Arabidopsis thaliana: one gene and its partner. The protein of the gene in region 1 purifies or fractionates together with the protein of each later gene. This does not show direct contact. Each region holds a gene or a part of one and is shown on either strand. Other genes may lie near its edges. The genes, in order: AT4G24830 and AT2G35040.

Region 1 (5,931 bases):
TATCTCCCTAAGAATACTAAGACATCATGCTACATCAGCTACCACAGGAACATGGAGATTCCCAAAATTCATAGTGGACTTTTGCAAACACAATTCTGAATCCAATTTGAGACCCAGAATGCTACAGTCCCCCTACATCAATCTAACCCAAAATACTAATACGAGAATTCGAATTTCAAAGCACTGCCAAATAAAAGTGAGAAACTGAAGGAAACTTACTTCTCGTCGAGCTTCTTAAGCTCCTCTTCATTAGCGGCCCGCATAGACTCTAACAAGCTTTGATCCAAATCCAGCACCGAAGAGGCAATTAGGGTTTCGTACAAAGGAGCCATACCTAAAATAAATAAAAACACCAACGAAACATCAGGAACATAAAATCTCGAAGAAATATTAAGCTAATTCTCACTGATTAGAGAAAAGGAGCTGCTTAACCATGGGATCTGATGAAATCCAAAACCTCAGACTTGAGCTGGACTTTCTCGATGTCTGGAACATCTGGATGAGTGAGGAGGAAGAGCTTGTTGGCTAGAATAAGGTGAGGCTGCTGAGATCCTTCCGCTCCACCGTCCATCGCAAATCGGAAAGCTTGAATCGGATCTGAGAGAGAGAGAGCAAATATATAAAAAGAGGTTTGCTTGAGCAAGGAGGAAGAGCTTACAAAGATTTCAGGTCCGATGGTTTTTTTTTTTTGTGTATGTAAAAAAAAAATAAGTTTCGCATTACCTTAAACACCCTTATCTTTTTTTACATTTAAATTTGGAATTTTTACCATAAGAAAAAAAAGTAAAAAACATTTACATTTAAATTCTCGTTATAAATAATTTAAACTTAAGATCGTTGAATTCAAGTAATGGATATTTATATTTTATATCTCTTTCCAATGGAAATCATAAAAGAAAGAGGCACTCATTATTAAATTTCTCAAGTTTTTCCAAAGTGAAGAAAGATGATAGAATTATTTCGAAAGAAGCTGAAGCTATGACGACGCATCACAATAAGGGATGTGTTCTAATGTCAGGCTCTCAATTCCAAGTAAGACATGAATGAAAACCATTTCTAGCTAATTTTCTTAAGCATAGCTCTAATTTTCATTGGAAGCCCGTAAAGACGAATAAACCCGGCTGCATCCGCTTGGTTGTAGATCTCACTCCCTTCAAACGAAGATATGTCCTGTCTATACAGACTGTTAGGACTCTGACGCCCTGTAACCGACACAGATCCTTTGTACAGCTTCAGTGTCACAGATCCCGTGGTTGTCTCGGTTATCTTCTCCATGAAAGCGTCCATGGACTCCCTAAGCGGATCAAACCATCTTCCTGCGTAGACCATCTCTGCATATTTCAGTGCTAATGTGTCTTTTACCTGAATACTCTCTCTGTCTAGAGTGAGGGATTCTAGTTCCTGTACAGCTGCAAAGAGGATAGTGCCTCCAGGAGTTTCATACACACCTCGTGATTTCATCCCAACCAGACGGTTCTCAACCATGTCAATCCGCCCAATCCCGTGCTTTCCTCCTATTGTGTTTAGCTCGGCCAGAAGTGTGGCTGGACTCAGAGCCTTCCCGTTCAGCGCCACTGGAAGTCCAGATTCTATCCCGATCTCGATGTATCTGTATAAGTGTGTAAGTATCAAAAGTTAGGATGCAAATTGCAAAATCCTACTCTTGGTATCTAAATTTGATAGCATAGCAGCTAAACCAGTTAACTCCTTTGAGAGACTTTAATAACGAGAACTCTCTATTCTAGATCTGATTCCCAATCCCAAACCATAAACAAATCCTGAACACACCAACTCATTCTGCCTAAACCTCAGCTCTGTAGCTAACTGACTCAACTTTAGTTTTCAAACTATCAACACAGCTATAATCCACTACAAACCACCTTGGGGTAATTACAGTGCATAGTTAAACACAAGGGCTCAAAGAAATTCCAACTTACTCAGGCTGATCAGGAGCATCTTCAGGATCCACACTCATCATGTACATATCTTTCTTTGGCTCGTTTGCTGGATCTTCCAATAGATCACCCTTTCAACAAAACACATAAGTTTGATATCAGAGCATGAGACACATTATTAGGAACTGAGCAATGTGACAAACTGGATCAATTTGTATCCAAAAGAAAAATGCGAACCAACACTTGTCTTTTACTTTACCTCATGACTAAGGTGCCACAGGTTTCTGTCCCGGCTGTAAATGGACTTCTTTGTCACTGGGACGGGAACATTATGCTTCTTTGCATACTCAATAGCATCTTCTCGGCCTTGGATTTCCCATTCTCTCCATGGTGCCACAACTTTAAGTTCAGGGTTTAATGAAAAGAAGGTGAGCTCAAACCGAACCTGGTCAATCAATCAGTACAAAAAAGTAATGTAAGAATCAATGCGTGTTTTCCAATGTGACGCATTAGCAAGACATTCCAAGTACTTGCCTGGTCATTTCCTTTTCCAGTACACCCATGTGCAACGGCATCAGCTCCAACCTCTGCTGCTACATCAACCATGGCCTAATCATTTAGAAAATGTATTAGTGACAATATGTAATCCAAAAGATATATCCAGATATTAGAAATAGTGGGGGTAGTCCTCACAAGTCAATCATATAAAACCATTCGAAATGTTACCTTAGCAATGACAGGTCGAGCCATGGAGGTACCAAGCAAGTATTTTCGTTCATAGATGGCACCAGCTCTAAGACAAGGGAAGATGAAATCTTTCACAAACTCCTCTGTGAGATCCTTAACGACCAACTGAGAAGCACCACTAGCCTTAGCCTTTTGTTCTAAACCCTCTAACTCTTTTATGCCCTTCACATCAAAGTATTTAGAGGTTGAGAAGACATAAGCAGATTGCAACAACATAAAACTTCATTTCTTAACTAAAACAGTTGACATGTGGCATTTTTGTGATGTACCTGACCAACATCAGCAGTGAAGCACACAACTTCACAACCATAGTTCTCCCTAGAAAACAAATAGTTACATATAAGGAAGGTCAGACTAGTTGTTTCATAACCAGAGGAAGATTCAAAACGTATTCTTGTTAGAGGTCAGAAATAAACTCAAGAAAAAGGAAAACATACTTAAGCCATGGCACAATGACAGAGGTGTCTAAGCCTCCACTGTAAGCTAGAACGACCTTTTTCAGTTTTCCACGAAGTCCAGCCTCCTTTGAATCAGTAGTCAAGGCGGTTCCATCACCGGATAGAACAGCTCGAATAGCTGTGCAATATTCAAGACAGCAAATTGTTTAAAACGTACTAATGGAAAATTTCATCAAGAGGGGATAAAGAATATATGTTAAAGGAAATGGATTGATTCAGTGTAATGCTAACTTTACCTTGATTCTTGCAGCTGCGGGATCCGGTAACATGACCGGTAACAACGGCATTGCCAACAAGCTGGCTTCGTTTCAGAGATAACTGCAAATTCAGTAAAAAGCAAATACAGAATTTAGTTGTATCATCGAAGAAACAACAAGTATGAGCATCGATTTCAAATGGATGTACCTCTTGGAACTGGGAAGTAGTTTTTGGAACAGCTACATTCTGACATTTTAAGCTACCTGCGAAATTATATCAGATATTAATAACTTGAAGTCCCATTTGCAATTCGCGGAGATAAAAATAGACATCAGAAACGAAAACTGTCGGGGAAATGGAGAATTTTGTATTCAAGCTAGAGCTATTGGTAATAATATAAAAACAAGGAAACGAAATGGAGGAGACAAGAAATGGGGGGATAGAGAGAGAGAGAGAACCATTGTGGGAGCTACGGATGACGAGAGCAGAGGAAGAAGAAGAAGGAAACGAAGTCGCCGAGATTTCAGCCATTTTCGACTATTGTCTGCGAATTTGTTTCTTTGTCTGCGGTTTGGTTTTGTGTTCGTTCGACAATGGGGTTTGTGGCTCTTTTAAGAATGCCAACAGTGTCCACGTCCTCTAGGGTTTCGACACTCTTTTTTTTTTTTCTCTATTACGACGGCGATATCGTTTTTTTGTTATTTCTCATTGATTTTTCTTTCTTCAAATATGAAAAACGTTTCCATATTTAAACCCAACAAACTAAGAGCAGATTTCGACAGATTATACACCGTTAAACAATGTATATCTCTCTCAATTCCCCAATGATTTAGAATTCGAAACCGGTTAAATGTCGGTTTGGTATGTTTAGACAATTGATAGTTTCTTTGGTTCAGTTATATACGAGAAAACAAAAGAAATTAAGAGTTAAAAGTTTCATTCCCTTTGGTGCGTGTTATATACTGAAGATGAAATAGTCCTACATAAAAGATTAAATGGCCAAAGCTGGCACTAAACTCAGACCTCACATAATGCAACTTCGGCGGAAAAAAAAAAACACTCTCTCTTCAACAAAACTCTCTTCCTCTTATCTTCACTGTTAAAGCAAACAAACACAAGCTATAGAAAAGAAGAAGCAGCGATTTCTTATTATCAGATATATGATACCACAATGATGTATGTATGGAAGCGAGCGTCCTCAAACACTAATTGAGTTTTGCCTATCCGCAGGTGCAACGCATTGCCAGAAGGAACAGTACTCCGGAATATCCGCCGGTTTCAGCCCCAAAGCAGAAACGTTTCGGCCATACTCCTGGTAAGATATTATCCGATTATGTTACTTGCTTGTAAACAAAAATTTGCAGAGAAAATTTATAAATCACACAATGAATCATCATGAAGAAGGTCTTACCTGAATATCAAGGAACAACTGCATACACATCTTGTCTGTTTCAGATACATTTTGATCAGAAACACCTGATGCTGCACCTCCTCGTCTCTGTGCATTTTGACGCAATTTCTGAAGCGATGACTGTGTTTTTCTTGCCTGTAACATAATACAATCAATATATCTAGATTCTCTACCGCCTTTCACTACACATAAATTACTCACCATCTCTGCATCTTTATAGTAAAAAAAAAATAAAAAAAATTGAAAACGATCTTTAGGGATAGAAAGAATGATTCTGGTTTTTGTTTTGGCTACTGGGGTTATATTGTCAATTCAAATCCTCAAAAAGTGTTTATAACAGAGTACTTACCACGCTAACAACATCAGCAGCTAATTCATAATACCGCCTGGTAATTTCACTGACACTGCCATGCAGTAACTCCTCCTTTGTTTTTTGGGTCAAGTAGTTTCTAGCCTTATCTCCCTCCAAAAAAGCCTGTTATAAAAGAGAAGGAGCAATAATCCACACTTCAGAATCCATCGGTCAAGCAACTATAAAATATTTTTAAAATCGCAACCAAAAGCTGAATTAATACCTTTACAGGACGCAATAGCCCAACGACATATGGTGAGTGCCTAACAGGCAGTGGCTTATTAGTCATCCTAAATGTAGCGGTTATCCCCCTGAGCTGCCTTAGGTCCTATAGGAGATAAAGCATTTACCGTTACAGAGTTAAATATGTGTCAGACTTGGAGAATAACTCTAACCTAATTCAGCTATACAGCAAATTCTAAGAAACATTGTTTCTGCAGGTGCTCACCAAGGCAGTCAAGCAAATCTTGAAGTTTACAAATTAAAGAACGGATCTAATGCTTTTTCAAAGGTTTACCTCAACAGATTTATCAACAATGACGTCAATTATTGTCTTGGTAAGTAAAGGTAGGACTTTCTCTAATGATACCCCACCCTGTTCTATGCTGATCCTCACCACATCAAGAACTTCAGTGGAGCTTGAAGATAAATACTGTGATATATGTCCAAGGTAATCGCCGCAAACTTCTGAGACTAGACAATTTACATCATGTATAACCTGCCAGGAAGGAAACATGTAAATAATCCCAAAAAATCAAACGATCAACCATATGGTCTATGTGATCTGATTTCATGTATTTATAGCAGATCTTCCGAGTTTACTTAATTTCCACAGCATTTTTTACTTGCTATTCTAATCATAATGGAGAT
Region 2 (5,605 bases), on another chromosome or scaffold:
GCTGACTGGACCAGTTCATGATAGGTCTTATCTTCAATTCTAGAAGGGGGTTTCCTCTCGTGCTCAAAGCTCTGACGTTTTTCTTCTATGTTAAGCACTGTAGCGTTAGGGCCACTCTCTGACATTGGATGAACCATTCCCAGAGCACTTAAGTTAACAGAAACAGGCATACCACTGTGCTCACCATACACATTTGGGATGAACTGCGGTTTCATAATAACCCTATCTCTCATAAACTCAAAAGCAAATTCTTCACCGGTCTGTATTGAGTAGTTTAGCACTGGCCGAGCAGGGGTTGAAACACCATAATCTGGAGGTCGTACATAAGTGTTAACATTAGTTGAAGAGTCGTGGGAAAACCTTTGATTAATGGAGCCAAGTCCCTCATCTCTAGGGTCAGGGGCAGTATACCGAACATGTTCATAACCTTTTGCTTGATCCATGTTTTCTTTCTCAAGGTGTCTATCTATCTAGTTCATAAGCTCCCTCACAAACGCTTGTAGGCGACATATCATGATCATGACCCAAGTAAAATCTTTGCATAAGCATCCTTCGCAAATTTCTAACGTTTTGGCTGCAGAACAGGACGACTTCTATCATGAACAACTCAAACTCTCATTGAGGTGCCTGAAATAGGAGAAGAGTAACTTTACTCAAGTAGTCAAACATATTCAAGAACAAAAAAACCAAAATAGCATACGGCTAAAACTCAGAAAACCATACTATTTAAGGAACATTTTCGGTATACAAACCAATAAAACTCTTTACTCTAGCAGGGACAGATCATCCAGTACAAATATCTGACTGTGCATACTTTCCAACATGAAACTAGCTAAAATGACTACTTTCTAGTCTCTTCAAGTTTAAACTAACAGGAATCGCTGAAACTAAAATCGATCAACTTCACCAAACTATTAGCAAACCCATCGTAACTTTGAGAGAGTGTAAATCAACAGATCAAAACATAGAACTAAATCCAAAATTCAATCAAGTCCGTGAAACAATTCCAAACCTCAAAAAGGAAACAAATAAGCGTCATTTCGAACCAAAAACTGAGCTAAAAACCTCTACCCAACCAAAAAACAAAAGCCGATCAAGCCATCAAAACCACTGAAACTCTAGAAAATGCAAGATCTGAGTATCATTACCCGAAATTCAGGTGGAAACACATCGGATCCAGAGATTTTCGATAATAATGATCAAAATTCAAAAACAGCATACACCTAAAAGGAAGACGAGTAAGCAAAGAAGGAGAGAAGTAGAGAAAAAGGTTTATACCAGGAAAGGCGGCACCAGAGACTGTGAAGCGTCCTCGGTTTGACGATCGATGAGTAGGAGAAGAAGCCAAGTCCTTCCTTAAAATCTCTCTTCTAATTTTGACAATTCGAAAAACAAAACTATATTCTCGAGAAAAAAACTATTATGCCTACCAATAAAATAATTGTTATCTACTTACATTATTTAAAATTCTGAAAAGCAAATAAAATATCATATAAAACATAAGAAGCTTTCGTCATCTCCATAGTTAGTCTTTTGTAATATTACCACTCTGATCCAATAAAGTTTTATTTCTTACTAATTAGTTTACACTTGAGAATTTTGGTTTCTACTAAATTTTTTAAAATTTGGAGTTAAAATAGTTTAGTTTTATTTTTGGGGGAAATAAAAAGAGAAGCTTTATTCCAATTTTCCAAATATTCCAGGTGTAATCTAACTGTCAAGGCCATAATAATAAATACATAATTCCACCTGACGCCAATAATAAATTACATATTTTCCTTTTTTTTTTATTTTTTTTTCTAATTTATTTCCAAAATTAGCCGCAAAATCACAAAACCTAACAGAGCTCAACACTACACACTGTTTCAAAATCAGACTACTATGCTCAGCTCAGCCGCCACCGCCACCTCCGTGAGTGCTCGCTCCGGCGATATTCTCTGCGGCTTGTTTCGCAAAAAATCCGTCGCGCCTTTTCGTTTTACTCAGCCTGTGAGTTCTCCTCTGTGTGTGGACGTGTTCCTTTGTGTCTTTGTTTCATGTTCTGCTAAACTTTTTAATATTAGTGGAATTTTCAATGAGCAGGTCTATCGTACGTCGCTGTGTCCAAGTTTCGTTGCTGTTCGAGCCATGGCAGAGTCTCAGACTGCTCAGAGGAATCAGCCGCAATCCTCAGGCTCCTCTGGTTTACAATTTTTCTTTTTGCTGCAATTTCAAATTCAGTGATCGATTTTCAGTTACGTTTTAGTGATTTTCAAATAATCGGGCTTTAATTGAATCAGGGGAGAAGCAAGCTTTGATATCTCTATCTGACAAGAGGGACTTGGCTTCTCTTGGCAACGGTCTGCAAGAATTGGGGTATGTGTTCTTCACAACTCTCTCTTACTTAGAACTATACAAATTTTGGTTTTGTTTCTATCTTATATGTAAATGATTCCTTTTTTCATTGATATTTGTGTAGATACACTATTGTTTCTACTGGAGGAACTGCCTCTACTTTGGAGAATGCTGGAGTCTCTGTGACCAAAGTGGAGAAGCTTACTCATTTTCCAGAAATGGCATGTTTTTCTTTTCTCTTATGCTCGCTGCTCTTGCTAAAAGTTTTGGTCTTGTGATCTCGCTGATATTTATATTTAAGTTTTGGTTTATACCATTGTTTTGTTGAGTTTAGTATATTAAACTTAGCTCTCCTTTTTTTTTTTCTTCTCTTAAAGCTTGATGGCCGTGTGAAAACTTTGCATCCAAACATACATGGTGGTATCCTCGCTAGAAGGGATGTGGAGCATCATATGGAAGCTCTTAATGAGCATGGGATTGGTGAGTTTTGACCTTTGATTGATCCTCTACATTAAGCTTGAGACTAAGTCATTTATAGTGTCTCCTTATGTTTAACTGTACCTTTTTTTTTTTTAATTCTATGACAGGTACATTTGATGTTGTGGTTGTCAATTTGTACCCGTTCTATGAAAAAGTTACTGCTCCAGGTGGGATCAGTTTTGAGGATGGGATTGAGAACATTGACATTGGTGGCCCTGCTATGATTAGAGCAGCTGCTAAGGTAATACATATATCTGTGCATATGAGACTTTTTCTTTACACTTGCAAGATTATTTTCAAGATTATAAATGTATATTTTCTATTGTTTTTTCAACAGAACCACAAAGACGTTCTCATTGTTGTCGATTCAGGAGATTATCAAGCTGTTTTGGAGTATCTCAAAGGAGGACAGAGCGACCAACAATTCCGCAGAAAACTTGCGTGGAAGGCCTTTCAGCATGTTGCTGCATATGATTCTGCGGTTTCAGAATGGCTATGGAAGCAGACTGAAGGAAGTATGTGATTGTTTTTATGTGATCCTCCTTACACTAGTTATGGCAATTGGCAACTTACATTGATTGATATTCATGTCTTTCTCAGAAGAGAAGTTCCCTCCCAGCTTTACAGTTCCGCTTGTACTTAAGAGTTCTCTTCGTTACGGTGAAAATCCTCATCAAAAAGCTGCATTTTATGTTGATAAGAGCCTTGCTGAAGTGAATGCCGGTGGTATCGCAACAGCGATTCAGCATCATGGAAAGGTAAGAAAGTATGCTACTTTTTCTGTCCGGTGTAATTTACAGAGCAAATAGTTTTAAACTGCCATTTATATCCTTATCCTCGCTTTCAAGCCTTATTATGTTTAACTTTTCTATTTATTTCTGTGAGCAGGAAATGTCATACAACAACTATCTTGATGCTGACGCTGCATGGAACTGTGTGTCGGAATTTGAAAACCCAACATGTGTAGTCGTGAAGCATACAAATCCTTGTGGTGTGGCCTCTCGTGATGATATTCTTGAGGCTTACCGGCTAGCTGTAAAAGCTGACCCAGTTAGTGCCTTTGGTGGCATTGTAGCTTTCAATGTTGAAGTTGACGAGGTAATCAAAAGTCAAACTACTGTTGTCCCATACATTATTCAATTGTTTAGTGATCTGTAACTGTCTCTAGGTTCTTGCGAGGGAGATCCGAGAGTTCAGGAGCCCAACAGACGGGGAAACTAGAATGTTTTATGAAATCGTGGTTGCTCCAAAGTATACTGCTAAAGGTCTTGAAGTCCTCAAAGGGAAATCAAAAACTTTGAGGATCCTCGAAGCTAAAAAGAATGACCAAGGGAAACTATCGCTCAGACAGGTTGGTGGCGGCTGGTTGGCTCAGGACTCGGACGATTTAACTCCAGAAGACATCAGCTTCAATTCTGTCTCAGACAAAACTCCGACTGAAAGCGAACTTGCGGATGCAAAATTTGCCTGGCTCTGCGTTAAGCATGTCAAGAGCAATGCCATTGTGATAGCAAAGGTTGGATTTTCCTCTCTGATTCCTTTTCTTGTTTCTCTTTCTGTACTTGTTTGCTAGTAGTTTATTCTGATTCTTGGGTTGGCTCATAGAACAATTGTATGCTGGGGATGGGAAGCGGACAGCCAAACCGAGTAGAGAGTCTGAGAATAGCTTTCAAGAAAGCTGGGGAGGAAGCTAAAGGAGCTGCCTTGGCCAGTGACGCATTCTTCCCATTCGGTATATATATTTTTCTCTCCGAAACCATTCTTCTGTCTGAAATGACTCATCAATCAACAAATGTTAGCCGTTCTGAATTGGAAATTTGTTGTTGTGTGAATTGCAGCTTGGAAAGATGCGGTGGAAGAGGCGTGCCAGATGGGAATAGGAGTGATAGCAGAACCTGGAGGCAGTATTAGAGACCAAGACGCTATTGATTGCTGCAAAAAGTATGGAGTCTCTCTGCTCTTCACCAACGTTAGACATTTCCGCCATTAAGGACACATCCCTCCAGTTTTGCTCTTATAAACACATCCAAGAGAGTTTCTGAAGAAGAAAACCCACCAAACAAAACACAAAGAGTGGGAAATAAAACTGTTGTAACATTAATTTGGATTGCGTTCGAGTTTATGTATGATTAGAACCTGAGAGCTGTTCCTACTTATAAATTTGACATTTTTCACCCAAAATCATATCTTTCTCTACATCCAGAAACTGATGAGATTTGCATATAAAATATTCAACATTTCTACTCAAACTGGAGTGAGAAAGTCGACGACAGTGTGGAGAGAGATCAGAGATGGCGACAGGGAAAGTGGTGGTGGAGAAAGTGGGAGGAAGATCTACAGCTACGAGCTGCTTCTCGAAGTATCCTCTCAAGTTCTTACTTCCTAGCAAGGTCTCCTCTCTCTCTCTACGTAGAGTTCACAGTTTCGAATTTTCAATCTTTAGTTATTAAAGTTCCGGCGACACTGAACTTTCAGGCAGCTCCTGCTGGAACTGACGTTGTCTGGATTTACAGTATCACTTATGGTGGCGGCATTGTCTCTGTATTTCCCTATTTCTCTGTCTCTTTATTAATGAATTTGCCATCGATGCGCTTGAATCAATCTAGTTCTTGTTCAAATTATGTAGGGCGATTCGATTTCATGTGAATTCACAATTGGTGATGGATGCACTGCAGTTATTACAACGCAGTCTTCTACTAAGGTTGAATCAATTTAGGGCTTTTCTCTCTCTTTGCAATGGACACTAATTTCATCCTACGTGGTTGACTTTCTGTTGATGGATCTTGTGATT

Evidence for each region.
Region 2: the proteins of AT4G24830 (region 1) and AT2G35040 fractionate together in Arabidopsis thaliana (co-fractionation; one large-scale study listed by BioGRID). This does not show direct contact.

Annotation. Positions count from the first base shown.
Region 1 is NC_003075.7:12,792,029-12,797,959, forward strand, and holds AT4G24830 (arginosuccinate synthase family), read right to left. Parts: upstream 4,004-5,931; 5' UTR 3,830-4,003; coding exon 3,757-3,829; intron 3,562-3,756; coding exon 3,506-3,561; intron 3,419-3,505; coding exon 3,337-3,418; intron 3,219-3,336; coding exon 3,080-3,218; intron 2,961-3,079; coding exon 2,912-2,960; intron 2,805-2,911; coding exon 2,622-2,804; intron 2,505-2,621; coding exon 2,430-2,504; intron 2,341-2,429; coding exon 2,155-2,340; intron 2,027-2,154; coding exon 1,938-2,026; intron 1,610-1,937; coding exon 1,057-1,609; 3' UTR 799-1,056; downstream 1-798. Other genes in the region: AT4G24820 (26S proteasome regulatory subunit Rpn7), read right to left, coding at 220-334, 433-571; AT4G24840 (oligomeric golgi complex subunit-like protein), read right to left, coding at 4,497-4,610, 4,710-4,844, 5,059-5,184, 5,285-5,389, 5,579-5,779.
Region 2 is NC_003071.7:14,764,546-14,770,150, reverse strand, and holds AT2G35040 (AICARFT/IMPCHase bienzyme family protein), read left to right. Parts: upstream 1-1,832; 5' UTR 1,833-1,881; coding exon 1,882-1,989; intron 1,990-2,063; exon of another isoform or gene 2,064-2,082; coding exon 2,083-2,182; intron 2,183-2,279; coding exon 2,280-2,355; intron 2,356-2,458; coding exon 2,459-2,555; intron 2,556-2,711; coding exon 2,712-2,814; intron 2,815-2,921; coding exon 2,922-3,055; intron 3,056-3,151; coding exon 3,152-3,329; intron 3,330-3,414; coding exon 3,415-3,572; intron 3,573-3,702; coding exon 3,703-3,912; intron 3,913-3,982; coding exon 3,983-4,330; intron 4,331-4,419; coding exon 4,420-4,546; intron 4,547-4,652; coding exon 4,653-4,804; 3' UTR 4,805-5,006; downstream 5,007-5,605. Other genes in the region: AT2G35050 (kinase superfamily with octicosapeptide/Phox/Bem1p domain-containing protein), read right to left, coding at 1-443; URED (urease accessory protein D), read left to right, coding at 5,106-5,204, 5,290-5,355, 5,441-5,515.